Caenorhabditis elegans: one gene and its partners. The protein of the gene in region 3 interacts with the protein of the main gene of each other region in a pairwise test. Each region holds a gene or a part of one and is shown on either strand. Other genes may lie near its edges.

Evidence for each region.
Region 1: the proteins of Y52E8A.2 (region 3) and T14G8.2 interact in a two-hybrid assay, tested with the Caenorhabditis elegans proteins (one large-scale study listed by BioGRID).
Region 2: the proteins of Y52E8A.2 (region 3) and hlh-11 interact in a two-hybrid assay, tested with the Caenorhabditis elegans proteins (one large-scale study listed by BioGRID).
Region 4: the proteins of Y52E8A.2 (region 3) and ccch-2 interact in a two-hybrid assay, tested with the Caenorhabditis elegans proteins (one large-scale study listed by BioGRID).

What each region holds. Positions count from the first base shown.
Region 1 is NC_003284.9:12,852,881-12,860,166, reverse strand, and holds T14G8.2 (F-box domain-containing protein), read right to left. Parts: upstream 2,167-7,286; 5' UTR 2,149-2,166; coding exon 2,069-2,148; intron 1,955-2,068; coding exon 1,444-1,954; intron 1,133-1,443; coding exon 855-1,132; intron 801-854; coding exon 626-800; 3' UTR 534-625; downstream 1-533.
Region 2 is NC_003281.10:9,618,825-9,628,693, forward strand, and holds hlh-11 (Helix-loop-helix protein 11), read left to right. Parts: upstream 1-3,322; 5' UTR 3,323-3,378; intron 3,379-3,443; exon of another isoform or gene 3,444-3,586; intron 3,587-3,655; 5' UTR 3,656-3,673; coding exon 3,674-3,723; intron 3,724-4,676; coding exon 4,677-4,952; intron 4,953-5,000; coding exon of another isoform or gene 5,001-5,005; coding exon 5,006-5,229; intron 5,230-5,446; coding exon 5,447-5,866; intron 5,867-6,115; coding exon 6,116-6,311; intron 6,312-6,500; exon of another isoform or gene 6,501-6,649; intron 6,650-6,959; coding exon 6,960-7,089; 3' UTR 7,090-7,704; downstream 7,705-9,869. Other genes in the region: tbg-1 (Tubulin gamma chain), read right to left, coding at 7,853-8,167, 8,723-8,928, 8,983-9,192, 9,392-9,654, 9,703-9,869. UniProt on the Caenorhabditis elegans protein: Transcriptional regulator. Component of a feedback loop involving atfs-1, atgl-1 and hlh-11.
Region 3 is NC_003280.10:4,317,649-4,324,293, forward strand, and holds Y52E8A.2 (RING-type domain-containing protein), read left to right. Parts: upstream 1-3,187; 5' UTR 3,188-3,206; coding exon 3,207-3,295; intron 3,296-3,344; coding exon 3,345-3,747; intron 3,748-3,800; coding exon 3,801-3,887; 3' UTR 3,888-3,969; downstream 3,970-6,645. Other genes in the region: Y52E8A.6 (UNC93-like protein MFSD11), read right to left, coding at 1-29, 103-192, 1,492-1,615, 1,664-1,739, 1,784-1,880, 1,927-2,114, 2,164-2,321; Y52E8A.1 (RNA helicase), read left to right, coding at 4,418-4,597, 4,644-4,790, 4,837-4,908; H20J04.6 (Transmembrane protein 222), read left to right, coding at 5,612-5,697, 5,750-5,834, 5,885-6,010, 6,059-6,268.
Region 4 is NC_003282.8:16,274,328-16,280,724, forward strand, and holds ccch-2 (C3H1-type domain-containing protein), read left to right. Parts: upstream 1-3,874; 5' UTR 3,875-3,886; coding exon 3,887-4,207; intron 4,208-4,256; coding exon 4,257-4,496; 3' UTR 4,497-4,683; downstream 4,684-6,397. Other genes in the region: F38C2.7 (C3H1-type domain-containing protein), read right to left, coding at 2,453-3,064; clec-191 (CW domain-containing protein), read right to left, coding at 5,307-5,421, 5,466-5,548, 5,599-5,693, 5,757-6,030, 6,097-6,387.

The DNA of each region.
Region 1 (7,286 bases), on a different chromosome or scaffold from region 3:
CAATTAGTTCAGCAGACACTATTCTACCGAAGTTTTAACTATTTCCAAGTTAGTACTTGCTCACACACGAAACACATTAAATTTGCTCTACCAGCCCGAATTACCAGCCGCATAGTCCTGCTTCTTATATATTAATAGAAAAATGTTAAGCAAAAAGTAACCATGTATTTGAATCAATAAATTGACGGTGGAAATAATAATTCTAAAGGAGTAGTAACGGTTTGTTATCTTACTGCATAATATCTAAAACAGTTTGTAAATTTAAGATAGTAAATAGGTAAACCATGAAGCAAAAAATGCTCGGATGTTTTAAAGGTAAACAATAAATTTGCGCAAGGTACAATATCTTTAACGAATATTTATTTGAAGACGGATATTTGAATTCGAAAAAATAATTCGAAAATTAGTGATTATCATATCTAATAATATAGGTTTTTTGGAAAACTGCTCTCCGTGTAGCGTTGGACACTTTACGTCATGGTTGTCATGCTGTATTTGAGAATTTATTTTTCAACACAACAATCAGAACATGGTTCGCGTATGTACATATTTTATTGTTTTTCAATAAAATGACATGTTATTATAAAAAATACATTATTACGTCGGCAATATGATTCCTAAAAATTTAATTAAACTCCAAATTAGAAAGAGCCGTCATAAGCCTCGGAGATATGATATTTTCCCAGCCAATTAGAGTGAACGTTGATTTTTCGGGATCCACATGAACTGTTGCCACTTTGCCCTTGGAATCCCATATTATGTAGCCGGTCTCGATGAAGTAATTTGTCATGGCCGGAATTCTGAAAAAAAAAACTTAGTTTTTCGTGAACCAATGAGTTGTGAAGAAAACACACCCTTTGAATTTTTCCATGAAAACATTGTTTTCTGTCCACTCAATAGCGGCCACTCCTTGGAGTGCATATCTCAAATCGATATTGTCAGCGTTTTGACAGTGCAAAAACCTCAATCTCTCAAATGTTTCTCCATCCACAAACGAGCTTATTATGGTTTGTATGTTTTGGTTATCCACAATAAGTCTTGAGATGAGAACAATTTCGAATAATCGTTCATGGAAGTAGTCGTATTCGAACCATTCATTTGGGTTCACCGGCAACTTTCCACTTGTAAAATTCTGAAAAGCATGATACTGTGTTATAAATTTGAAAATGAAAAACAAGTCATATTTTATGAAAAACTTCCACATCAAAATTAACTTCGAAATATTCAATCTTGATTAAGCGTGCCGGAAAAGACGATAGCAATAAAGAATTAGCTCAAACGGTAGATACAACACGAAAAATTTCGTTTTTATGTTGAAATTTCTTTTGAGATGGAATACATTGTTATTAGTGATGAAGTTAAATTTGACGTGTCATTTTTGTTTTACTTTATTCATAATTTTTTGAGTTAGAATTTTTCAATTAAATTTCTATGAAATCTGACTTTACTGGTAATTTTCGTTCTCGCAATTCTAGCCCTATCGGAGAAACCGTCCATGGCAACAAGCTGCTTGTTATTCGAAAACATTTTCAAATACTCATGAATTGTCTGAGAAGCATCATCACGAACAATGTACTGGCTTTCTTTGAGAAATTTGAGATCCATTTGAGATATCCGTTCTTCATTTCTATCTTCAGTGGCAATATAGAGAATAGTTTCTAATTTGGCTCTCATAAAAAAGTTTTGGAAAAAATGGACCAGTTGCACAACTATGTCGCGATGGTTTTTGGAATGAGTCCACCACGTATTTTTAAATACATGAGCTTTTTCAGTAACGGGTCCAATGGTTTTTATCGATTCACTTTCATCCCAAAATTTGGTTTTGTAAAATAGCCAGGTGAAACCTTTGATTTTTAGTTGACTTTGATCAGTATAAAAGTTTACTGTGAACTTTTCGGTATTGACATGTTCACGTATTGAGTTATACAGAAGAGGATTGTCCGAAATTTGCAGTCTAAAAATTGCATATTAGTTTGAAGTGTTTTTTTTTCAATTAATAAAAACAGTTGTGAGTGTCAAACATATTTCAATGCACATTTAGTAAAATTATTCACTATTTAAAACTTACAGATCTTCAATTGGCATGAAATTTAAAGTCTTGATCATGACAAGGTGAGGGAGACGCAGCAGCTGGAAACCATCGTTCATTTTGATATTGCCTGAAACAGGATTAGATTTTTAGATGAATTGTGCGAGAAATACGACACGTATGAGAAAGAATGAAAAGAATGTTGATAAAAAACACCTACGGGTAAATGTTGAAGGAAATTTTAAATGTTAGTATTACGTTTTTTTTTTGAGAAAGAGTACTTTAAAGTGGAAACTAATCAGAAGATTTGATTGAAATCCGAACGCTTGAATGTTTCTCCAATTGATAGAATGAAGTTAGTTATAGAGACGCAGAGAGAGAAATATTTTGTGTATATTTACGCGAACGCATATGAAGCGAACACAAGTCATTATATTGTTCGGAATATCAAACACCTAATTTGAATGTCGTTTCATAAAAGAACCGGGTAAAACTAAAATCTAAAAACAGTAGAAGAGTCTACATGTCATTAGCAACCCAGCAACGGTGAGATCTAAATCAATCAATAGGTTATTTATGAACACTATAAAAGGAGAGACAAACCACCCACACCACCGTCTCTTCTCACCTTTGTGCGAGAGAGTTGTCTCTAGCAGGTGAGCCTGTGCAACAGTTTTGGAGCTGACAAAATCTAATGCAGAAAAAATTGTGTGTCCAGTTGTGGGGAAAAACTAAAATTGTTTCAACCCCGTAAACCTCCTTCATGTTCAATCAATAGTGACATAAATCCTTTCGACCATCGTCATAAAGATTGCAGATAGCGAAGTTGAAGATGTACCAACTATACTGGTTGGTAGTTGAGACATGTTGATTCACATCCAGTACCTCTTCCCACCTTTTCATTACCTTCTAGGGTGCCTTCTTCAGCATGTGCGCTTCTCTACTGGAGTTACTTACTTTGATACTTTGAAGTCCGTTTGGATCAAGTTAACAAGCAACTTCGGACAAATTCTCTCCAGTTTTCACGTTCAGTGCGGGCGCTCTATAACCATGGAACCTTTGGAGAAAGGATTCCAAATCTTTTACAACTCTTCCTTGAAGAGCCTCGGGTTGTTAAACGATTTGAAGGCGTCGTCAATGTCTTTTGTCCATCGTTTCTTCGGTTAACCAGTTGCTCTCTTCCAGTTTTTGTTGTGGCAGGGCTCCCATTCAGTACAAATTTTGAGCCATCTGTTAGGATCTCTTCTCAAAACGTGACTCGAGGCCTTTTCATCAAACATTTCACTGCTCTTTTCTGATTTTCTAAGAATTTAGAATACCCTTCCTTACCCAATTAACGAAATTACCCAAAAAATACCCAATTCAAATCAAACACCCCCTTTTCTCGCTTATGACAACAAAAAATGAAATTGAACTCGTAATTCTGTCTCTATAAGTTTTCACAAATATTCTAATAATCTTTCAGATTTAGAAAACTCACAACAAAAACGAGTATGGTGTTTGCGTATGAACGTCACATTTACGACCTAACAAGGGAAGTCTTTGAGGGGGTCCGTAGATTTGGGATTCTCATGCTAAAATTCCTACAGAAGAGTGTTAGTTATGATCTCTCCAAAAAATTTAGCTGCCCCGGTCAAGTTTCAGCAAAGTTATGACGTTTTGAAATTTCAGTTAAAAACACCATTGAAATCCACTGTCTTACCATGCAATCCACGCAAATCTCAGCTTGCGTGACCACCGAAAATGTGACACCCACCACATTGAGTTGAAAAATGTCCTCGGTGGCCGAGTTGGGAGTGCGCGCGTCTGATAAGGTTTAAGCTTTGGTTCGATTCCTTCTATTTTTGAAATATTTTTGTAAGTTGAATAAAGTTGTAAAACAACTCATTCAAACATTTTTGCGCATTTTTAAAGTGATTTTATTCTTATTCGGGAACCTAGAATCATTGTCCGCACTTTTTGGAAATTTTTATTTTTTTCATTTTTGTTCAAAATTTCTTGATCAACTCCAAGCAAAAAAATCAAAAAATTTCATTTTTCTAAACAATTATGAAATTGCTATGTTGTTGTTCAGAAATGTATGAAACGTACATTACACAAGTTTTAACTCTCTATTCGCAAGTAAACCGTCGAAATGATACATCTCACGAACTTTGTGAAAAATATTTAACCAACTTTGAAGTTGCATAACTTCGTTGAGATAAATTATTTTGAAAAATGATCAACTAACAAAATGTTTGTTGAATAACAGTGAACAAAGTTTTAGTTATAAACTTTTTGATACCTTCAGCCACCAAAAAGTTGTGACCGTTTTCCAAAACACAATGTTAATAGAAAAACTAGCCAAATGCCAACCTTGTTTTCTTCTTTGTAGCTGGAGGTATCAAAAAGTTTATAACTAAAACTTTGTTCACTGTTATTCAACAAACATTTTGTTAGTTGATCATTTTTCAAAATAATTTATCTCAACGAAGTTATGCAACTTCAAAGTTGGTTAAATATTTTGCACAAAGTTCGTGAGATGTAGATCATTTCGACGGTTTACTTGCGAATAGAGAGTTAAAACTTGTGTAATGTACGTTTCATACATTTCTGAACAACAACATAGCAATTTCATAATTGTTTAGAAAAATGAAATTTTTTGATTTTTTTGCTTGGAGTTGATCAAGAAATTTTGAACAAAAATGAAAAAAATAAAAATTTCCAAAAAGTGCGGACAATGATTCTAGGTTCCCGAATAAGAATAAAATCACTTTAAAAATGCGCAAAAATGTTTGAATGAGTTGTTTTACAACTTTATTCAACTTACAAAAATATTTCAAAAATAGAAGGAATCGAACCAAAGCTTAAATCTTATCAGACGCGCGCACTCCCAACTCGGCCACCGAGGACATTTTTCAACTCAATGTGGTGGGTGTCACATTTTCGGTGGTCACGCAAGCTGAGATTTGCGTGGATTGCATGGTAAGACAGTGGATTTCAATGGTGTTTTTAACTGAAATTTCAAAACGTCATAACTTTGCTGAAACTTGACCGGGGCAGCTAAATTTTTTGGAGAGATCATAACTAACACTCTTCTGTAGGAATTTTAGCATGAGAACCCCAAATCTACGGACCCCCTCAAAGACTTCCCTTGAAAACGTTTAATTTGACGCGCAAAATGGGCAGCTGCTGTGAATCAAAGGAATGGCGGAGGTTGAAAGACGCGCGATTGTCCAGGAAACATGGCCGAATGGTCTATTGGTATGATTCTCGCTTTGGGTGCGAGAGGTCCCGGGTTCAATCCCCGGTTCGGCCCATTCATTTTGATGAAAATTTTTAACAATTCAACTTATTTATTGAACAACGAAGTCGGACGGATTAATAGGTGACACACATATCCTTGATGCAAATGCTTTTACAGTTGTGACATCCCAATTCCACTTTTGCTGTAGCCAAAGAGACCAGAAGAAATACCATAAGGAAGAGGAAGACGGATCGGACAATAGAAAAGGATTTCATGTTGAAATTTTACAATGATGCTCTAAGACAGACTGATTTCTTATATAGTGCTGAAACGTCACATGACAAATGCGTAGGAGGTTTTAATGGGAATATGTAAATTTCATGGTTTTGACGTTTTTTCCAGAAAATGTTCTGAATCATAAAAAAAATCAACGGGAATCTATGAAGATCAGTGATCAAACTCAAAATCTGTGTGCTCCTGTGATTTTTCTAATCCTCTATACCAATTAGAAGAGCCTTGGGCGTGTACCAGCTCACATGTTCCCTTGATGCGCGACTGGACATCTGTTGTGTGCACATCGGGTCTTCGCTCTTTTTCTCTAGTTCTGTAGTCAGTAACGTTCTCTACAAAGTCTAATTACTAGCCAAGCAGTTTATCGATTCTTGTGCAACGTTTATTCGATTCCTCTGTTCAGAACTCCAACTCTTTTTTGTTTGCATGTTGCTATTTTAGTCCCCTCCACCACTTAGTATATTAATCTTTAGAAAATGCGATAAGCTCAGTTCAGAAATTCAATAAAATATATATTCACATGGTTTCAAATTTTTGTAAAATGTGGTTTGAAGATGGCTCTCTCAATACACATTCCGTTGTGTATTTTTTTTCTGTATACGTGCGTAGTACGTAGTACACATTCAATTTTTTCACGATCGAGTAGCACGTTTATTGTTAACAGTGGTTCTACCGTTTTTATGCTTAGGGATCTGAAAAACTTAATATTAAATTGACGAAATCGACAAAATCGACGAACTGCTTAAAATGATCGGCATTAATTTGCTTCCTTCACTAATTTTGAAGACTACCGTTCTAATTCACTCTTCGATCAGAACCTGGATGAGACTACCAAAAAAAGAGTGCTGCGAATGCGTTCCTATCTATTCGTAGTTTCATTTACAAGGGCACTCGTACCGCTGTGTGCAATGCGCACGTCCTAAAACACCTGTCCTTCGTGCCTATCGATCGTTGGTTAGGTCTCTCATGGTCACTCCATCTTTCGTGTGAGACACGTCGGATGAGAAGACTCCACCCATCTGGTTTCTCTCGTTCTAGCTAATCTGCGGAAAATATTCGTCCGTGCTCGCTTCGGCTCCAGCCTCATTTAATCCACATTGATTTTTCATTCGACGCCTCTCTCCATTGCGAGACTGCAATTTTGTATTTGATAAAAATTTTATTTCCTTGCTCTACTACATCATATTTTCTATGGTTTTCATGATTTTCCCTATTAGCCATTGAGATCCTGTATCATGTTTCAAAATTTGAATAAAAAATTCGATCATTCGACCTTTGTCCTATTTAAAACTTTCCAAAATAAATTGTGACTTTCTTATCAGTTTTCGTCCTCTCTCCACAAAGCTCATCAGTTATTCTGAACAAACGTGAGCTTCTTTCGAACTTTTATGCCCGTTATGTCTTCGTCTCGTTGCATATCTCTTTCTCTCATTTTTTTTTATCTGACCGAGTTCGCAGTAAACAAACACGCCAGCGCGCGCGCGTCTCTGACCCTCACACTAGATGTCCCCGCAATGACGCAACGAGTGGGACACAATGAGACACCCCTGGCGGGACAATCCCCTTATTCAGATTTTTAATGTGTGTCTTCATTAATGTCTTCCAACTAGTCTGGATAATTTTGAAATCCGAAAAACGGGTTTTCTTGAATCTTATTTTCACACTGTGTCATCATCCTTGCGCTATGAGAAAAAATTTTTGTGGAGCATCTTTGAATCTTTTAAAAATAAAAAAAAAATC
Region 2 (9,869 bases), on a different chromosome or scaffold from region 3:
GCTATTATACATAGTTATTGAGTTATAAGTGTTTGAACAACTCAAGCACACCAGGCAATTAATTCATGGTGCATCACAAAAACGGCCATTCATAAGGCGCAAATTGCAAAAATTTTCGAGTCGCGGTGTATGCATCGTGCTTCCACAAAGCCAATACTGTGTAGTTCCTGATGGACATCTTGCAAATTATCTATGATCTAGTGACCAATATTCCCATCTGTTTGATTCGAACATCCTTCACCAATCCTCTTCCACATCCTGGCGCCAACTCAACCTCGAAGATCATCCGACCAAAAACACATGTCGATGGCATCCCGACCCCGTCGGTGCCCATCCACGTGCCCATCGTTTCTCTCGTTTCCTCCTCTCCGAAAGCCTGATGATCGTCGAACGAGTGCGTCAGAGACGCAGAGATATGTTCGGCGCTTCGCCTCCTTTTTTGCGACGAGAGCTACAGAGAAACGAAGAAATAGGAAAAGTATAGAGAAATTGTGAGATATAGAGAGATAGTGAACATGAGAGAGTAAGCAATAGAGAGAGAGAAGGAGGCGCCCGCTCCCTCAACCCCTAAGACCATTGAGGCGCTGCTGCTGGCCTTTAACATTTATGTGAGTGTGTGTGTGTGAGTGTGGTGTGTTTCTCGTCAGCTCCTTCTTCTCTTTTCCATCTCTTTTTTTTCCAATTTCTCCCTTTCTCATCTCAACCCCATGTTGCCTGTGTTGCTGCAGCAAACCGATCAGTCCACCACCACCACCGCTGTCTTCGTCGTCGTCGCCGCCGCGAAAAACTTTTTTCTCCCAAATGATTCGGAGCGTCGTCCCCCCCCAGCCCAGTCAGCCAGTCAGTCAGCCTGTGTATATGTCTATTTGTCTCGCAGTCTCTCTTCGCGCCCGGCTCCCCCATCTCTCGTCCCGCCGACGAACGTATTTCGATCGTCTCGTTTTTTCGGTTGTGTACCCCAATATCTAAATCTAGTCGCGATTGAACACCTGACCTATTCTGTCAAATCACACACACCCTTGCGTCTGTGACGACATTTATTTGCAACATGTTTCATATTGAATTCCATATGGTAAGAGTTCCATTTTTTTGATCAACAAGTTTCCTCTTGTTTGGAAAAATCTATGAAAAAGTTAATAATATTAATATAGTACCCATTATTACGAGTATTCAGGTGAACCCTCTTTCCATTTGACCTCCAAAAATTGCGGGAGTAGAAAACAGTAAGTCCCCACAATTTTAGAGGGGGTCTACCTCTATGATCTTACTGTACTCGACCATCATATCGTTCTTCCTAGATTTCTGATTTTCTGCCTCAAGTTTGTTATGATTCCATATGTTGTTATGTTTCTTTTTATCTTTTAGCTTTCTTTGTCTTCCCCCCGATAAATTATTTTATCTCTTATCTCACTCACTGTCTGGCTCGCGCCTACCGTATCATCGGAAACGAGCGTTTACGTTTGCCCCTTCGCTAGACAAGGTCTCGAAACGAAACGAGACGCGAACTGCAAACTTTTCTCCGTCTGTTTCTCCGTTGCGTCCAAATCTTCTTAAATCACTCTCTCCCTCTCTCACTCCACTCACAGCTGTTTGTGACCCCAACCAACAAAACTGGGGGCCGCGCCATCAGGTGTTTTCCCCATCCATCCATCTGTCTCTAATTCTCAGGATCCCTTCAGAAAATGTTTCTTGGATCGGTTGATGGGGAAGATCGCAACAAAATCCCTTAACCTTTATTTTGAATGATAACAGATCATTACCGTCCGAATAGTTCTCGATGTCGTTTTGTTCAGTGTCTTTCTCTTTTACTACGCCTTTGAACTGATCTCTTTGCCGATTTTGGTGATGTTTTGTGATCTTATAAGAACTATAGTGAGTATGACTATGAAAAATTGTTCCCAACCTTTAACGCGGTTTCAACTAAATCTTGACCAAGTTTTTCCGAAGTTTTGCCAAAACTATGGACGAACTTTATATGTATGTTATACACAAAAATTTAGGCAGGAAATTGCCTCCAAAAATTGAGAAATCTTCCTCTGAAATCTCCAATATTTTCACGATTAGACTCTATTAACCTATGTTCTATTAAGTATTTCATAAATCTACTACCAAATGTTTTCTAACTTTAGATACTTTGCGTGTTGCTCTATGTGCCCAGCTGTTCTCCCATAAATGCCAAACTTGACCAACTAGATCATCCCGTACACTTGCACACTACAGCTGATCAAACTTTTGTTTCTTTTTTAGTTTTATGATTATTATGTGAGAAGTAACTAACTTTTCGTAATTACCAAGAATTCTTAAACTAACTGGTCAACTGCTTTTTGTTGACTTGTCAATGGGTTCCAGGGAGCCCTCATTGTAAAAAACATATGGTAAGTGCAATTGGCTATCGTCTATAAGCTCAAGGAAGTTGGAACCAATTTTTTGTTGATATTTTTTTCTGTTTTGTCTTCTCCATTCCGTTTGAGAATCAGTTTGTGTGTTCATCGCTCTCTCGTTTCTCCGATAAATCGCTAATCAACATTTTTTCTCGGTTTTTTAAGAAAGTAGAAAGATCAAAACATCAAGAGCTCATATTTCATTTCTTGGGGTGAAATCTTGAAATCTAGCCTTAAATTCTTTTTTTTTTCTTTCTTTTTTTTTTTTTAAGACCGATTTATTCTTGGTTCTTCATATTTTATCAAGAGAGAATCTGAGCAAGTCCGTTTGTAACTTTTGAAAGACGTTTTGTGATTCTGCAAATTTATAGAGAACTGATTGTTATTAAAACATGGACTCTGTCGGCTTCACGAGATAAGCTCATCGTCAGTTAAAAATAATTTCATTACAAGAAACTTTCGGTTTCTAATTCCAATTTTGGCAATGTTCTGATGTTTCGATTACTCCCAAACTCTGATCATTCAAATTAGTATCATGAAACATTTTAAGTAAAAGTTGTTGCATTAAACACCTGAAAATGGATCACCTGTTCTTTCCCTCTCATTTTTTCAATTATAAACCCTTCAGTTTTTCTATTTTCTATACATTTAAAACCTATTTCATCTGCTACACTGAAACTGCCCTCTTCCTCACGCCTTTTTCATTTAATTTACATATACATTGGTACCTACCGTATGAAATAGACGAACTGCCCGATTTTGAATTATAAGTCGGTGTGTTTCGACCCTCGATTGCTTCCTCTTTCCCCTCATGTGTCTGTGTAAAACATGCCATATGACACACTGACAAACTCTTTTTTTTTTCGATCTTTCCCCTTCAAGAATTTTCGTGAAGCATCAGCTGTTGGTTTTTTGTCGCAAATAATTCCAATTTTGTAAAGTTTCAGGTAATCCAGACGGCTCCCATCGTCCCTTCGTAGTCTCCGTAGTACTAACAGTAAGTATTTATTTCTTATTTCAAATAATTCGTGGTATAATCATTGTTATCTTTGCCCCCAAGTGTTGCTTATCACAAAGATTTTCAGCTGGGAAAAGAGCCTATCTTCTTTGATTCTACAAAGAAAATGGCATGTCAGCCAGTCAGCCAACATAGTGGGGGAAAGGTGATAAGAGTTACGGGTTTCGGGAAACTTTTGTCGGAAAAAGAGAGAATAAGGAACAAATAGAATTTCAATTCGAGAACCTCAAAAATCAAAAAAGAAAATTTTTTTCAGGTAGATCAATAGTAGAAAATGGTTCGTTCGGATAGCGCAGAAGAAGATCAAATCATCATTGATGATGGGTAAGGATTTTTGTACTACATTTTTTGCTCATGGTTTTAAGAAGAAACATTCGAAAAGTAATGTATTGACATAAGTCTAAGCCGAGTTTTGCTTATAATCATAATATGGTTGAATTCCCGCCTTCTAGGCGACTAGGCAGGCGGTCTGAAGACGTGCCTGCCTACTATATATATATATATATCCAGGATCAGACTCTCATTTGATGAAAGTATTAAAATCTGAAAATAATTCGAAAATAAACTTTTTTTGCTCCCTCTAAACCTATCAAGTTTCCAAGTGAAGTGTTAAGTCTACAGTAACTTTTCAATAAATAAAATTCAAATAATTTCCCATGGCTTTCAATTCGTTCTCAGTGACACGCAACAAGAACACCTGGCTTTTAGAGAAAAACACAATATAGAGACGCAGATGAACTTTTCCTCAATTCTAAAACTGCATGTGGCAATTTGTACTAATAATTTCTCATAATTTTTGGAACAGAAATATTGAGATGTTAAATTGAAGCTAATTTATCCCATTTTCTTTCTTTTTTTTTGTGGAATCGTGGCATTTATTGAATTGATAGGTTCTAATTGTAGATGAAAAGATCAATATAAAAATCAGAACAACTAAAGCTAGAGTTATTTTAATATTAGTTCAAATGTTACCCATTGTCGGCAAAGTTCAAATTTAAGGTCTAAAATGTGTTTTATCACTTTTGGAATTTTTTTTTAAAATGCATTTATAATAATTTAAAACGACTTTGTGAATTTCCAATTTTTAAAAAATATGTTTTTTCTCTATCCTCAAAGGAGTACTGTACTGTAGTTGTAGAATAGAAAAATATGAAGATATTCACGAAAAAGCTTGCGTCTTGAGAAGGCATTAATTGGAAAGTTGAAGTTAATTGGCCCCAAATTATTTGATAAATTTCGCTTCTTGAACAACCTCATCTACGAACACATTTTTGCAGATTTGATCTAACTGAAGAGGACGAGGAGATGATGAGTTCGGGTACAGGTGCATTGCCCGTGACTATCGCCGACTGGAATTCCGTGACAAATGCACGAATGGCACCACCATCCATCATGTCAGCTGCTTCGGCATTTGATTTGACGGCTTCTGGAATGCAGAATTCGTTGCGTTCTGTCTTGCCTACCTCGACGATTGGGCATGCACCAATGCTCGCCAACCGGTCACTATCCCAACCGGCGCCACTTTCACCAACGTCGCTCGACCCCGACAGAAGGTTAGTTTTATAGCACTGAAAGGTGGTGAGTACTGTAACTTTATATAGTATAGATCCAGAATGCGTCGGCAAATTGCCAATTGCAACGAGCGGCGGCGGATGCAGAGCATCAATGCGGGATTCTTGGCTCTAAGAGCCTTACTTCCCAGAAAAGAGGGAGAAAAGCTGTCGAAGGCGGCTATTCTGCAGCAAACTGCGGATATGGTTCATCAACTTTTGGGACACAAAGGAGAAGATATACCTGACGGTGGAGAACCCAAAAAACTCAAACTTGAAGGTAAGTTTATATCTTATTGATATTTTTGAAAAGTGGAGTAGGATGAATGGAAACTGTGTTTCAACAAAAATCTGGATAATCTGAAATTCTGAAATTCCACAAAATAATTCCAGCCTAGAATGGCCTGAAGAAGTCTAAATCTTACTGAATCGTGCCTACCCTAAATCAGTTCAAACTTGAAATTAATATAAGCTGTTCAAATTAAATTTTGTTTCAGAAGATCACCACGACGCTGACCATCAAGCGCAAATAGCACATCTCCAAACAATATTAGAAACTGAACGAGCCGCCCGTAAGGCTTTGGAGAGTCAAGTAATTCAGCTCCGTGAGCTGCTCCAAATGACGACAACATCATCGCAAGCATCGTCACCAGTGACACCAAGATCTAATGGTTCTGGTGGTTTCACATTGCCATCTTCATATGCTTCATCGGCTCTTCCTACTCCGTTACGAGAATCACCGGAAAGGAAACCATCATTTCAAGATACAACAAGTACTCCGTTGTCTCTTTTGACACTGAACGGTAGTCCAACTTCTTCTGAATCATTGGCGTCTCAACGTATATTCCATCCGCCTCCAACATTGCCAAGTTTAGAGACAACTGTTATCCGTCCTACACCACTACCACCAATATCAGGTAATTTTTGGAAAGATATATTCAAAATTAGTTTCAAAAAGATTGAATGTCCAAACAAAACACTATGAAACGTTTGAGATGTTTCAAAATTTCCAGGCAATATTTTGGTAAATTACCAAATTTTTTTTTTGGAAAATTTGGTCTTTTGGGAAATTTAGAGTATTAAGGCCTAATGCATGGTAGCATTTTTTGAAGCCCTGGAATATTCAAATAAAACTTTTTGACTATAAATATATATAAACATTTAAGTTGAAATATCATCACCATCTCTGTCAACTCCATCACCTTTGACTGCCGCTCCAATAATCTTCTCAACAGCAGTTCCAACTCAATCGAGTATTTTGTTCCAAACAGCGGCGGCAGCGGTCACCTCGGCCATGTCTACCGGTAACTCGACACCCGTCGCATTGCCACATCATCTGCAGGGACATAATTCTGCGTTTGTGTGAGTTCTGTATATTTTATGGGGGAAAAATTATGAATTCAGTTTTCTGTTTTGAGAGAAGAAGGCTGTATGTGGAATGATCTACTTTCAAAATTCAATTTCTGAATTCAAATCTTCGTTATAAATTTAATTTTTAAATTTATTTTATGCTGATTATTAAATTTCAATTAAATCTTTTTTATAATATACTCTATACAGTCAAAAAAAATGTTGTGGTTACTGTAGGTTGCAATATTGCTATTATGAGGTCGTAGAAAAATCCCCCTTGTAAAATCGAGGACCGCCCCCAACAGCTGGGTCTCGTTAGGTATTGGGGGGCCAAACCAGTAATTCAAACTTTTTCTATTAGTTTCGCCAATGTTTGAACATTTTGCGTCTTTCTGGGTACGTATGCCAAATTGATTTTAAAAAAACTTTCCAATAAAAACAACCATTTTTCCAATAAAAACAACGAAAGACGAAAAACGACGAAAAACTCCTGAAAATTGGTACAATTATTTAATGACAAACGTTTGAATTCACGGATTTGCCGCCAAATACCTAACGAGACCCAGCTATGGAGGGCGGAGATTTTCTACGTCTGCATAATAGTTCTCGAGCAAACTTTTCGAATTTTTAAAAAAATTAATATGTTGCCATCAATTCCAGAAGCACACAACCGAGCCTGACCCTGTCTCAATCAATGCAAACAATTGTTGAAGCTATTCGTCATTTGGAGGGAAGTCATTTCATTCCAACATCTCCTCCACCAACCTCACAGACATCGCTCGTCCGTTGAGCCTGACTTTTGACAAATGTAGAGTTACAATTACAAATACAATTATCAAATTTTCCACGTTTCATAATCTCTCTCTCTTTCTCTTTTTCTCTCTTTCTTTCTTCAGGTTGATCCTGTTTTTTGCTCTTCATCTTTTTTCTCTCTCTCACCAGGCACAGTATCTATCATTTTTATCACAAAATTTGATGAATTTTTGTTCTTTTCCCATTTTTCTTCTTGTTTTAGGTATACTACTTGTTGTGTTTCTATGAAATGTTTTTTTCCAAAATTTTTTGTGCCGATTGTGGTCTTCTTGTCATTTTTCTTCTAATCAATCTAGCTTCCTTATTTCCCGCGCTCTCACGGACCTATCCATTGTTTCGTTCTCCCCACCGATAACTTTTTGTTTTTTCATTTTCCTTTTTTTCCAGTCTTGTTCATCTCCAGACACTGCCCCGTTACTTTTACACAAATCGTGTCGATTTCCTCTTTTTTTCATTTTTCACCCGGTGGTTTTGTTGACCGTATGTGCAGCTTGAAACACTTTCATTTTCAGACCTCAATATGTCTCTCTATTGCTATCGCGCAATAATCATAACTAAATAATTTAAATAAACCTCAATAGTACAACCACTGAGACAAGAGTACCAATATTTATGTGAAAATTATGATGATGATGAGGAGCACATGATATAAATAATACAATAAACACAGCATATGATAATCGACAGAGATCCGTTTTAAGAAGTGAATGAGAATCCCGCGAGAATAAATAATAATAAATCTAAAGCCCTCTTGTCAGATAGTCCTTTTGTACGACCGCCTTGTACTCGTCCAGCAAGTCTTGCACAATGTGCATTGCATCGTCCATCATATCCAGCGAGAAATTGTCAATCTTTTCAAACTTGTCGATGAAGGCTCTCTTTGATCGTAGTTTGTCGTATTTGGAGAGAAGCGATTCGAATAACGGAGCCACGCTTGTGCTGTTATTGAGCAAGAGTCCAGATACTTTGTATTGTGGCCGAACATATGGAGAGAGTGGAGCATGCATCATTCGAAGTGGTTTAAGCATGTAGAATGGAGGCCTTCTGATTGCGAACTGAAATTTGATTTTATTGATTTGATGCTTTAAGGTGGATTATAGAAAAATAACGAAAAAAAGTCATTATTAATCACTAATTTTGTCTTTAAAATAGTGATTTTATTGGTGCATTTTTGATTTTCTGACTAATGTGTTATTTGAATTGCCACGCTTTTGTCAAATTTCCAAGTTTCTAAAAATTTTTTACTTCATGTCAAAAATACTTTTTAAAAAAGTTTGCTTCACAATTGCTGATTCGTCAAAATAAGCGCTCATTTTTGCAATGTAATTTGAAGATTTTTTTCGTTTGCAGTATCTCGGTATTTGTGACCGCCTTCGTGTTTTGAGAATAAAATCTACATCTCCAAAATTAGCTTACGAAAATTTTTCGTTTTTCCGATATCTCGAAAAATATTTTTTAAAGTTGCTTATTTTTATTTTTAGAAAATATTTATATGCTTTCTTATAGTTTTCATGAACATAAACAAAATTTGATAAAAATTGAATTTTATGGTTGATTTAGTAAATTTATTTTTCAATTTTCCCGGAAATTCTTTAAAGTATTGAGCTTACATCAACGTTTTGCTCAGCAGTCATAATTGTATGTGCCTCAATTTGTCCTTGAAGGAACATGTAAGCTGATAGCATGCAGTCATTTGGCCGAACCCGAGAAGCAGTTGAAACCATCATTGAAGTTGGTTTTAACAAGAAGCGAGTGACGTCAGCGACTGAAGTTTTTCGGGTAAAGTTCTCATTTGGATCGACAACAGGAGAGATAGCTGCAAAAAACAAAATAAATAGATAAAATAACATATTTCGGAATAAAAACAAACCGGATTGAATAAAGTGCATTGGTGGAAACGGAGCCAAATCCAAATACCGAATTGATGGGCACATTGCAGAGTTGAATCGATATGGAGCAGTGGAAGTGCTCATGATTCGGGCGACAAGAGAATTGATATGATCAAATGTTGGTGTATCTGTTTTGAATTTTCCAGCCGCAAGACGGTGCAGTGCAGCATTATCGAGGACAACAACATGATCTGAAAACTATTTATTTGAAATTCCTTTTTTTTATTATTACTCAGATACAAAAATTGAGACGGTACCCGGTCTTTTTCACTTAATGCGAATATATGTGAGCCTTTTAAGGGTACTGTAATTTCAAACGTTCGTTGTTGCGGAATTTTCATAGATTTTTCGATAAATCATTGTCATTTCGTTTTTAATTTATTAACTTACCAGGATTCTCAATAAGTCTTTGCATAGAAAGTACCCAGTTATATGGATGAACAACAACGTCAGTACTGGTGTCACTATTTGCAAAAACACTGTAAGTTTGAATAACTTTCTTCGGAAATGCTTCGCGAAGCCTTTCGAGCAAGAGAGATCCCGTTCCAGATCCAGTTCCTCCAGAAACACTATGAGTAAATAGAATTCCATCCAAATTGTTCGTATTTTCAGCCTCTCGAATGATGATATCCATTATCTTCTCTTGAACTTCTCTTAAATATTATTTATCATTGATTTTCAATTAAAGAAATACAACTCACTGTCCTTGACAATATCCACTTGCCCAATTATTTCCAGCACCACCTCCGTGATCGGACATGAATATATTGTCCGTATTGAAAAGATTCGAAAAGTTTGGAGACTGCATCATTCCGTTGATTACACGAGGTTCTAGATCGACTAGAACTGCTCTTGGCACATAATGATC
Region 3 (6,645 bases):
GGTGAATTTGATGCAGGTTGGGTAGATTGCTGTAAGGTTTCAATTCAGCATGCCCATGTGCCTGCCTTCTGTAGCCACAAGCCTTTTGTAGGCACAACTTACCAATCCAAAAAGATCTGGAAAATCCTGTATAGAGGAAGATAGAGACCAGGAGGAGCATTGGAGATTCACGCATTATTTTGAACGTGGCTTCTGGAAATTTTTTACCAAAATTTTTATAGAAGGCTTTTAATTTTTAAGTAAAAATTTTTCTGAACTGGTTTTTTTTAAATTTCAAACAACCTGAAAATCCCATATATATATATATTTATTCAAATCGTCGTAACAAAACAGAAAGTATAGAATAATCACCGGGAGAAACAGACTTGAATAATTTGAATGATCCTGTAAACCAGAAGTAGTTAAGGGGATCAAGTTGGGTGGGAAAAATAATTAAACGGGATAGAATTTAATCGTGATGCAAACATTTGACGGCTCATTGTCCCCGGAAGTAACTTGGCCATACGGTTCCATAGGTGAAGATTGACTAGTAGGAAGCTTTCGTTGATTGATCCACAAGGGCACATCATGTACGGATATCTGGGTGAGCGAGCCTTCCTCACAGTTGATGCGGCATTCGGAAAGTGGTATTCACCAGACATGATGTTGTGATAGGTCCTCAATATTTGAAGAATCCGCAGGTGTTGAACTGACTTTTGGTTCATCTGAGCTAGACGGTTTTCATATGATGAGTATGATAGATTGCAGCGTTGGAAGACTCTTCTCGAGAAAAACTTCAGTGGCGACTCCAGTTGTTTAATCAGATTTTTAGAGATCGGGTTGTAGATTTCACATCCGTAGTTTAATATTGGCTGCACATAGATATTGTACAATTTGAAGTAAAGGCTGGCATTTGTTGAGCGGAAGGATCGAAGTAACTGCCGGCATTTGAGAAGGGCTAAGTTCGAAATGATGTTTATGTGCTTCTGGAAGTTCAGCTTGTCGTCGACGAAGATTCCAAGGTCTTTCACTGAGTCCTTTTTGGTGATTTTCATTCCGTTTGCATAATATTCATTTTTTGGATTCCGCTTTCCAAAGTGAATAACATTGGTTTTGTTTTCAGCAAGGTTCAATTTCCATTTTGCGCACCAATCCGTCACGACATTGATTGATTTTTGAATAGCGCTGACATTGTCACCAAGTAACTTGATATCATTTAATGTGATTTTTTCGCAATTTTCTCTACTCCGAAAAATTTTGGAAAACATTTCAAAACTAGGTCTCATACTGTTAGGTAGATAGATAGGCAGGCAAAAAGCAAAAAAAATCTGCCTACTTCCCTGACAACCTACGCCTGCCCGATGATGGGCTGTATATGTGCCTACTGCCGAGCAGCTGAACTTTCATTAACAGTCAAAATGAAATAATCTTCAGTCAGTGACATTGTGCTCACACTCAATTTAGATTAGGTGGTAGGCAGGCAGGCATAAAGGCGACCTACCATAAACTCACTCAATGTCTTCGCGAACGTCTCATGCTTCTTTCTCTCCGGAACATACACTGATTGTGGCAGAAATGCCGTGTTAATCGCCGCCAATAGAGAAATGGAACAACAGATATAGACGAATGTTTTGTACTGAAAATTGGCAGAATTAGAAACAGATGGATGTTGGAAATACAATACATCTCCAGATTCCAGAAATTCGTTCATTTTTTGATTGTAGAACAGAACGTAGAGAAATATTCCACCACCGAGGAGGCTTGAAAAATCAAAATGGTACAGAGAATTGATGGAAGTACTCACCAGAACTTAAAAATGAACCAAGTCAGAGCAATATTTCGTTCAATAGTTTCACTTGTGCAGTTTTCCGTCAGATATTTTCCCTGGCCAACCCATATGACTGAAAGTTTCAGAACATTTGCGAAGCCCTCCTGATTCATACTTACAAGCACCACCGACACCCAAACTCGCTGAAGTAATGTACACATAATAAGTATTCATATGTATAAATCCATATTGAAATGCAATATATGCCGAAAATCTCAGAACCATTCCCCATTTCGCGGAAATCTTATCAATTATTGGAGCAACAAATAGGCAAGAAAGTGTGAAAAAGAAGTAAGTTATAGCAAAACTAAAATCAGTTTTGCTTTTGAAAAAGTGACCATATAGAAGAGACAAACCTATGATAACCGGCGTGAGGATCAATATTCCCACCGGTTTTATGCTTTTCCTCGATAAGTGGTTCTTGTATGTATTCTTGACTCATATAAGCAAAAAATAGGAGCAAAAATGAAATCGATAGTCGGAGCACATTTTTCGTCCCTTGGTCAATAGCCATATCCGAAATCGGAAGCCTCTAGATTTTTATTCCTGTAAAAACTACAAATTTGAAACAAAGTTTCAAAAAAAAGAAACTTGAAAAAAAATAATTTATGACTTGGAAAAAATATCAAAGGTTTATGACAAAGACAAAAACTAGGCACTCTACTTTTTGTCATTTTTTATACTATCCAACAATATTATTCTTCTCCTTTTTCAGTCATCAGTGAAACTTTTTTCCGAATAATCCAGAAATTTGCATAATTCCCTTTAATTTGGAACGTTCAATTCGAGAAACTTGTTCAAAAACCGTCAATATGTATCGAAACGAGGAACTAACACAGCCAAGCATCAAGTAATTGTATTTTTACTATAAAAGTGTTTTTTTTGGAATTGTAAATAAACCTTTTTCAACATGTGGTTTCCTCTTAAAACCTCTTTTATTTTTAATTCTGTGCCTGGAAATTTCAAAGACGCGGCGGGATCTTGGCCCGATAAAACTTTGTGCGCCTTTAAAAATGGGTACGGTAGGATTTAATTTCCGCTTTGGCTTTTTCGTTCAGAAAGATGTCAATTAAATTCAAATTTTCCTTATTTTATTTGTTTTTTTTTTGGAAATAATATTGAAAAATATATAAATTATTCAACAAATTCGAAATTCTTAATTTTACCTCCATTTAAATTAATTAACTACTCAATCGTTGCGAAACCCGTGCAAGAATTATACCATGTCCCTTGAAGCGGTACGGTAGGCCCACGTTTTGTTTGCCACGCTGGATTTATCGATTTTTCGGATCTTTTCTGAATTGTGCAGCTTTCTCTGTGTGATTTTGTCGTTAACTGGTTTTAAAAATATTATTTTTCCCAGAATATATTAAGTTTTAGAGTTTATCGATTGGAAATCATGGTAAACACGTTGGAAGGCCTAGAATCGACGAGGAATTTGATTTTGAAGGAAAATCCAATGCGACGAGCCGCGGAACTTGTCGCCAGGTATTTTTAATTACGGCATTCAACTAAAATTTTAATTTGTATTTTTCAGACTATCGGCAGATGAAGTTACGATGCGTGCCGCGAAATACGAGCTGATCAAGTTCAATCGAGCATTCCAGAATTTCATGCTAGTGTTGGATGAGAATATTGAAGAGATTCTGATGTCAAACGACAATTCTACTCGAATTCAGCTCAAGAAGCTTCCGGAATTTCCATCCTTCTCGGATTCGTTTATGCAAGAATATGAAAAAGCTCTTCTGAATGGCGCAGAGAAGCTCAAAGCTTCAACCTCCAGCGAAAAAGGATCCATCCCGTCAGTCTCCTTTTCTTCATCAATTTCAAGCTCTAGCGCCGAGCTATCAGATGCTCGATGCCTTATCTGTCTGGACGACGTTATTTCGACTGAAAAAACTATCAAATGCAATTCGTGTAGACGTCGGTTTCATCTCGATGTAAGATTATTCATTTCAAAAACCTTTTCATAAATAAATTTCAAAATTTTCAGTGCGCTTCCCAATGGTTCAAGGAAAAGAGCGTTTGTCCAGCTTGTAATCGAGGGATGCTGGATCCAACGGAATTTCCATCTCTTTAATACCTCGTTTTAATTAATTTTTCAATAATTTCATGTGTAATTCGTTTTGCTTTTTAATAATTACAGTTGTAATAAAACTATAACATAGCTTTTGGAGTGGTTTCGACGTCGATCAGAATTTTTCGGGATGTCGACTGAACTTGACTTGCATAAATTCAATCGCCTTAAAAAACACAGAAATTCGAACTTTTCTTATTTTTTTTCGGACAAAAAATTGAGAAAAAACGAAAAATTAATTTTTACAAAAAAATTAAAAATAAAAAAAACTCGAACATTCTATGAATTTACAGCCAAAATCATGCCAGACGCAATTCTACCGGACAATGATGATGATTTGGAGATGAATGAAGAACAGGAAGAGCCTCCTAGCTCAGGAAACGTGAAAAATGAAGATTTTGAGGAAATTGAAGAAGCTGTCAAGGGCGAGGAAAAACTAAGTTTCAGATAAAGAAAAATCCGATGGAGAAGAAGGCGATGAATTCAAGTCATCAGATGACACCCCAAAGCCCATTCAAATCTCCGAAGACAACATGACAACTAAGAAATTCTCCCAGCTCGGCGTGTGCTCCTGGATCAACCAACAGCTCGAAACTATGCAAATTAAAACTGCGACGCCGGTTCAGGCGGCTTGTATTCCAAAAATTCTCGAAGGAAGCGAGGAACCGGAGCCGGTCCCGGAGCATGAAATTCTTACTGTTGTAATTAACAAGGTATACATCCCGAACACATCCAGTATACTTATACAGATTTTTTCAGACATCCAGTCAACATTTTGGATGCCATATTACAATCTCAAATGGCATCGCCAAGGTTCTTTCGGTTATTCCAGGATCGCCGGTAGATGAAGCTCTTTATGCTGGTGACATAAACTTATCGATCGATGGAATAAATATTTATAATTATGTAAGAATTAGATTTTTTAAATGTAATTTTTTGTATTTTTTTGCAGGGAGGTTTAAGAGATTTCAAGAATCGAGGAAACATCACTTTGAAGGTCCAACGCACAATTGAAAAACAATAACTTTCCTGATTTCTTTTCGTTTATGACTTCCAATTGATTGATGAAGATTATTTTTATTTCATTATTGATTCAAATTCATTTTTCAATGTAAAAAGATGGAAAAAACAGATATTCAGAAGTGAACTTGAAAAAGAGACTTTTTGCTCCCGCCTGGATGAAAAACCTTCGGGATCTTCAACATTTACCTATCTCAACTTTGGTGTTTCCTTTTCAGTTTCATTGTTATTCAGTTTGTCTTGGCTTGTACTTTGCACATATTGTCCATTCATACCGCAATTTGATAGCATCTCTTTCGATCTTTGCCTGATAAAGACTTATGCGCCTTTAGGAATGGGTAGTACGGTAGGGTTTAATTTCCGCTTTGGCTTTTTTGTTCATAAAAATTCCAATTAAATTAGAATTTTCCTATTTTTAGTTGCCGAATAAATATTAAATTTTCTTATTATTCCAAGTTTTTTGCGCGTACAATACTGCGCATTGTGTGCAGTTTCGCCGCGCGGTGTTTGCGGACATTTGAATTTTCGATTTATTTTTTTCCAGAATTTTGCGTTTTTCGATTGTTTTCCTTCAATTTTGAGGCGATTTTTTGATTTTTCGGCTTAAAATTATCACGAAATTTTGTTTCATACATTTTAAACGTTTTAATCACCTGATCTGCTCGTTTTTTTCCAATTCACCAGTGTCTATCTCCATTTCTAGGTCAATGATGCCGCTCACCGACCGTGACATCTGCCCAGAAAACAATCGGTATCCATACTGCATTGTTTGGACTCCGATTCCATGCCTGACGTAGGAAATATCTAATTTTATCCCAATAATCCAGCTAAAAATGCTGTTTCAGTTGGTTTTTCCCATTCATCGGCCACATGGGAATCGCGAATAGCCGTGGAATCATTCGAGACTTTGCTGGGAGCTATTATGTGGCGGTTTGTGCCCAAATTCAATTTATTACTTCCAAAAAGTAGAATATTTTTAGGAAGACGACATGGGATTCGGCTGGCCCACAAGATACTGGCAATTAGGCCCGGAAAAGGTGGAAGGTGGCGCGGAAGTCTTCGATAGAGCAGTTCAAGATGCTTCCGACACGTATAAAACTAGAACTGTACGGTTTTTAATCGATTTTTCCGATCAATATTTCATTTATTTCCAGCACAATCTCATCTGCGATAATTGTCACTCGCACGTGGCTCTGGCTCTCAACAAAATGCGCTACGATGAGCGCGAGGACTGGAATATGATCAATTTGGCGTGGTATTCACTGACAAAAGGAAGCTTCGTTCGTAACACGGATATGCTCGCTCAATACCTTCCATTCGTTATAATTGTCTTCATTTTCGTTGCGCTGTGGGCTTTTTTATAATTTTTGACCATGGGAATTCTACAAAATGACCTATTTCATTATGTTTTCCAGCATATTTTCATTGAAAATTAGATTTATCTAGAAACAGCATTTATTTCAGCCGAAACAGTTGAGAAAATGAACAAAAATGGACGTTTCAGCTGGAATAAATGGTAATTTCAGAGAAATCGAGGGATTTTCTATATTTTTACACTGATTTTTCGTGAATAATGCTGAAAAACATGGTTAAATAGACTATTTTGTGGAATAATTTGATCTCATGTAAAATATAGTCCAACTGTTAAATATTTCGTGTGATATATTATGTAAAATGTATTTTTTTTCTGTAATTTTCATATATATTTTTTTCAAGTTTTCTTGATGTTTAACCGGTTTGC
Region 4 (6,397 bases), on a different chromosome or scaffold from region 3:
ACCGTACAAAGTTGATCAAAAACTCGGAAAATAAAATAATTAATCAATACTGTTACAGTTTGACTGTTCAAAATAACATACTGAAACAGTAGAATTTTTTTTTCGAATAAATCGACTTTTATTTTCTTTGCAGCACTGTTACCGCAAGAGACAAAATTCAAAGAATGTGTTGCTTGTCTTGCCCTTCTAACCATTTTAGCCCTAACATTTTAACATTTAAACGGTTAACGGTTAACGGTTAACGGAACATTTAACGGAAAAAATTACAGTTTCAAATGCATTTTGAATAATTATTGAGATAAACTCTTTTTCACTGTGTTCACTTTTTGTACTATAACGACTTTCATATTCATTTTGTGGCAATTTTGCATTTAGACTATTGTTAAAGAAAGTATGAATGCCTATGGAACATTGAAAGAAAAATAAAAGTTAGAAAAAGAAATTCAGAGTCTGAAAAACAATTAAACATGAAATTATTCGAAACAATTTTTTCATGTTTCAGTATGTCATTTTAAACAGTCAAACTGTGATAGTATCAATTAATGGCTCAAAGAAATTTTAACAAATTATATCGAATTTCCACCTGAAATTTTTGAAACTTCTGTGAAAATTTTAATTTTCCTAACATTAAAAACGATGACACATAATGAACGGGACTGTTATGCTCCTATTTTCGCTAAACAACTATCAGAATATTAGTCATTATATAACAATTAATGAGAAACATGAAACTGATAAAAGTTTTCATATTTCAAAAAATTATTTTTGGATCTCAAAAACTCTACATTTTGAAATTGAGTAGTTGTAAATTTGCAAAATGTTGTTATGCTTGCTAATGCGGTTCTATAGAAAATATATACATCATTCCACGTTGGAGTTTTTTCAAGCAATAGTGCTTTTTTTTTAGAACTTCTTTACATTTTTAGCGAAAAGCTGTATTAAAATTTGTACAGTCGCCAAAAAAATCTGTAAAAAAAAAAATTTTTAAATTCCTAGAAATTTAATTTTTCAGTTAAAGACGCTCAAATTTACAAAAAATTAGGAAGTGTCCAGAATATATTACAAGACCCGACATATTCTAAAAATTAACGCTTCAAATTTAATATAACTATTTTAATGTTTTTCTAACGTTTTCATGACAATTTCATGATGTTTGAAGTAATAGTTCAATAAAATATTTATAGCAAATTTAAAAATTTTTACTGTTTCCATTCTCTCATTTCATTAAAAAAAATTATTAAAAAATCAGTATCTCGAACCAAGACACCAAGACCCAAGACACCGTTAAAATAGTTAAATTGAATTAGAAAAACAGTTTAAATTTGCTTTTTTTATTTAAAAAAACTGTTTCTAGGAATTTTAAAATTGATTTTTTGTCAAACTGGGACTGATCATACAAATTTGGAAACCGTTTTTTTTGCTGAAAATGAAAATGTAAAAAATTTAACTTTTTCAGTTATAATATTGTTTCAAAAATGTACTATTACTATTAATACATTTTTTGTTTCTTTAAAACCACATTTGTAAACATAACAAAGTTTTGCAAAATTACAATGACCTTATTTTCAATGATTCAGCACTTTTTAAGGTGGAATCGATCTACTTTGTGAGCTAGACTAATTAATACAACTACAGTTTTAAAATAACATAATGAAACAGTAGAAACTTTTTTGAATAATTCAAATTTTTAATTGCTTTGCAGCACTGTTAATGTAAAAGACAAAATTCAAAGAACTTGTTGCTTGTTTTTTTTTAAATTTTAACCCTAAACCCTTCAACCAAAAAATTACTGTTTCAGATGCATTCTGAATAAGTAAATATTAAAAAAATTCTGCTCCAGTGTGCACAAAATATGGTGCTTATAATGTAGAAAAAAAATTTTAGTGCGTATATTGTTTCAAATATGCACTAATCCTTCAAAAAAAAAACTCAAACGTGGAATTATGTACCCATTTTTTATAAAACCACATTTGTGCGCCTGTTTTTTTCAAAATCGATCAAATTGTTTCAAATTAGTTCTCAAAATGTGAAGTTTTTGAGATCTAAAAATAATTTTTGAGATGAAAATTTTTACCAGTTTTATGTTTTTCATTAATATGATTAATGATTTGAAGGTTACTTAACCATTTCCAACTATAGTTTTCATTTTAATACAAAAACTAAACTTAGATTGATTTTTTAAAATTTTCGAAACACTGTGTGTTCCAAATATATGTATAATTACAAATTTGAAAACAAAAAAGTCAAAATTTATTTTTTAAAAATATTTCAGATTCAAAGCCTTTATAAAATTTTGAGACAGATGGGTAGAACACAGATAGGAAAAGAATTTTATTACTTTGTAAAATAATAGAAAATGACAAACGATAATTGCCAAAAATATGGAAAAATAGAGGAAATATTGAGCATTAGGGAATTTAAAAATTAATATAAGATAACAGGATTAAAAAATTCATTGAAGAAGAGCTGAGCAATGCCAATTTGGCAATAAACTTGTTGAGTCCAGAGCAAATGCACGAAAAACGTCCGATTGAACATTCAGGTCAATGGTAATATTTTCCATTTTATTTGATTGATTTGAAGAAGTTGAGTTCATAGATCTGTGGATGAACTGACACCTGATTCCGTACTTGCAATGCCCAGTTGTTGAGAAGTTATTGCAAAGTACTGTTTTATAGTTACGGTGGTTTCTTTTGGTCTGTGGGAAGCGGAGCTCATGTACACTGTGAGCAAATTTACATTTTTCACCATAAGCACATTTTTGGCCTCTTCTGTGAAAACCACAAAGGGATGTCTTGAATGCTTCTTCTTTCTTTTTCAAACTCTTCATTTCTTGGTGAAGCTCATCTGGAATTGTGCAGGGATCTCGGTTGGCCAATGATTGATTAGAAAACAATTTTTGTTCAGTTTCATTTTGATTCACAAAAAGTGAGAATTGGGCTTCTTCATAAGATCCTGATGAAGATGGTGGAGAAAGCAATGGAGGGGTAGTTCCAGCTGGGAAAGCACATTTCAGAAGGAAACTGGAGAGAGAGTTTTCTTGGTTGCTTGCTTCAACAGACATTGTAGAAGTTTTGGGTAGTTTCTGGAAAAAAATAATGAAAAACGATATCAAGAGAAGAATTTGGTAGAACGATTAAAAAGAAGTAAAAATTAGTGAAAAAGTGGAAAGTCAAAGATTAAAATGGTTTCGTCTAACTGGATCCTAGCAGAGTTTCAGAAAGATATTTAAAAAAAACAAAAAAATTACTGCTTCAAACATGTATTATATGAAACATAGTGGTCATAGTGTATTGAATAATATTTTCTGTCTAATACAAAACATAGAAATAACATTTTAGAAAACAACAGTTATTAAAAAATTAAAGTAGCAAAAAAGGATCAACCACTCATGATGAGAGTAAAATGTGTGAATGACATATTTGGCAGTCTATCTTCCGGAAAAAGAATGAACGCTGCAACAGCATCTAATCGATAGCAAGCTCCGCCCATTTACAGGCCACACTCTCTGTGAAAAGGAGACGATATGTACCAGTAAATGGGCGGAGCCTAACCTAGCTATCGATTGGATAAAGTTTCAGCGTTCAAGAGGTTGCCTGATGACAGGATGACAATTGTGTCATTCATGCAAACAACTGTCATCCTGGGCGGTCGTTTTCTCATTTTTTCGCTAAAATATTGTTTTTTTTTGTATATTTTTCATTTTTGCCCGACTTGTAACGGTATCTAAAACTTTTCTTTGTTGCACTGTATATTTTGTATGTCTATTGAAATCTCTACTTTGAATGCTATTTTGCCTTATTAAGGATCAATTAAAAATTGAGTTAGAAGTTTTTTCTGAGATTTTTGTTAACTAAAACAGTTTAACTTTCAGAAACCCCTCAAAATGTCTAATCCACTTGCCGTTGACGTCCCAACTTTTACCAAATTGCACAATGTTGCTCAGTGGCTCTCTCAGCAGCCACCTTCTCCAAGACTGTTTGATCAGAAAGAAAATGGCTTCTCGCAGAATTTTCAACCATTCTTGAAGACAGTAAACTCATGCACAATTCCTGACGATCTCCACGAAGAAATGATGCGATTGAAAAGAAAAGAAAATGCATTCAAAACTGCTCTTTGCAAGACGTTTCAGCTCACACGAGCATGCTCATACGGGGAGCAGTGCAAATTTGCTCACAGTGTCGAGGAGCTGCAGCTGAAACAGAAGGTAAACTTTGAGCTCAATGAAGTTTTAATTTAAGTGTTAAATTTTTCAGAACCGTGGAGTCAACCACCCAAAGTATAAGACAGTTCTCTGTGACAATTTCTCTAGAACTGGACACTGCAAATATGGGACAAAATGTCAGTTTATTCACAGAGCTGTTGAGCCAACTCCAGCTCAAAATCCACTGATGCCCCAGTTTTCTTCATGGTTTGCTCCTTCATCGGGTCTTTCTCGGGAGTTTCTTGACAATTTTGGAGCATCTGCATCCAGCTCTAGCACTGACTTCTCTTAACTTTATTCTTTCATAATTTGTTTTATTCCTAATAACTTTTAATTATTGTTAATTTTCTATAATTACCATTATGTTTCTAAATTAATTTTTATCTGGAAATTTCTGGGGTTTTTGTCGAATCCACATTTATTTTTGACACTTTTCAAATTTTTCTATTCTGAATCATTTTTGAATAAAATTTATATTTTTCTTCGCAAAATAGTATTTGTCATGAAATAATTTTCCAATTTATTTATTACGGGAGTTACTTTTTTTTTAATTTGGAAAAAAACGGCACTGTTTCATCTAGTTTTTAAATTTGAACGTTTTTTTATTATTATTACTATACGATGTTCTCTTAAAAACAAAAATTTCTATCAAAATTTAAGTTAAAGTTAGAATTGAAATTTGACTCATTTTCTCATTCACATGGCACCAGAATGTCAATGCTGTGACGTCTCAGTGTTTTTTCCAGAATTTTATTTAAATGCAAACCTATGCGAACCCTGTGGCACTCAGTTGTCCTAAACAAAAAAGTGAAAAAAATCTAATTTTTCATGATTTCAAATTGTATATTTATAAAAAATACATATTTTTAAAGTTTAATCTTCGTATTGAGAACGTCTTAGTTGTAAATATGTACATTCAAAAACTACATGAAACTGTAAAGTTTTTTTTTGATAAAGTACATTTTTTTCTAAAAAAAAAACAATTTCTATTTAAAAACTGAAGAATTATCAATTTCACTGATCATTTAGCAATACAGCACACTGAACAATTTGTTTATAGCATAACACTCTGGATATTCATTTTTAATTTAAAAAATTAAAATTATTTGAATTGGTATCCGCAGGCAACTCCGATCGCTACGTCGTACGATGTACAGTTAACCATATTCAGTTTTAGATCACTGATAGAGCTTATGACTGCCAGACAATCCTGCTGGCTGAAATCACTGAGAATTGTTAAGAATTTGAGTTAAAACCTTACTTATTAACATATCCTGGATCCCAAAGAAACCCCGGTTTTAGCAGCTCAGTATCAATGGTATAGCCGTCGCTCCAGACAAAATTCTGCAAAAAAAAAAACGTAATTTTTTTTAATTTTTCAAAATTTGACTTACTTGACACGTTTTATTGGTGTTAGAGCTACAGTCTCGCATTCCATTCAGCCAAATTCCATCCCATTGTCCGGTTTGCAGAGGAGCTACTATGAATTCTGAAACATTACTTTTTAAAAAAATTTGAAAAATATTATTTCTGATTCCACAAAAAAGTCTACCTGTCAACCAATAAACTTCGCTACGGGTTGCAAGCCCTGTCATAATGGCACCATTATCTACACAAGTTTGCAGAGCAACCGTACGATTCGTTCCAAGTTTCAGTTCGAAAAATTTGAGACAGACAAAAATTGAGTCGGGTCTACTGAACAGGGTCCAGCCGGCTTTACATAACCGTGTGGTCCAGCCATTGCCAGATTTCCATGTTTGGTTTCCAGGACGCTTAATATCGGTTTCAAATGGGAAAGCTGGGCAAGTATTGTTTGGTAGATCAGCCTGTAATTGGTTCAAAAAAAACAAATCAATTTCAAACAATTTTGAAAATTCAAAAAAAAACTCTACCTTCACAGCTAAATATTGACCAACATCTCCCTCGTCGCTCTCAATTTCCCGAATCTCATCAAAGCTACTGAAACCGAATAAGTTACAGTACCCACTACTGTTCCAGAACGCCAGAATAAATGTGGATTCCTCGAAACAGTTTTGTACGCAAGAGTCTAGATCCGTAACAGTTATAGATATAGCTTCTTTGTTGAATTTTACGATTTTTCCATAAAATAACAACATTTTCTCAATTGGCATAGCCAATTTGATGAGAAAAGCGATTTTCAGGAAGAAAACCAGTAGACGCATGTTTCTGCAA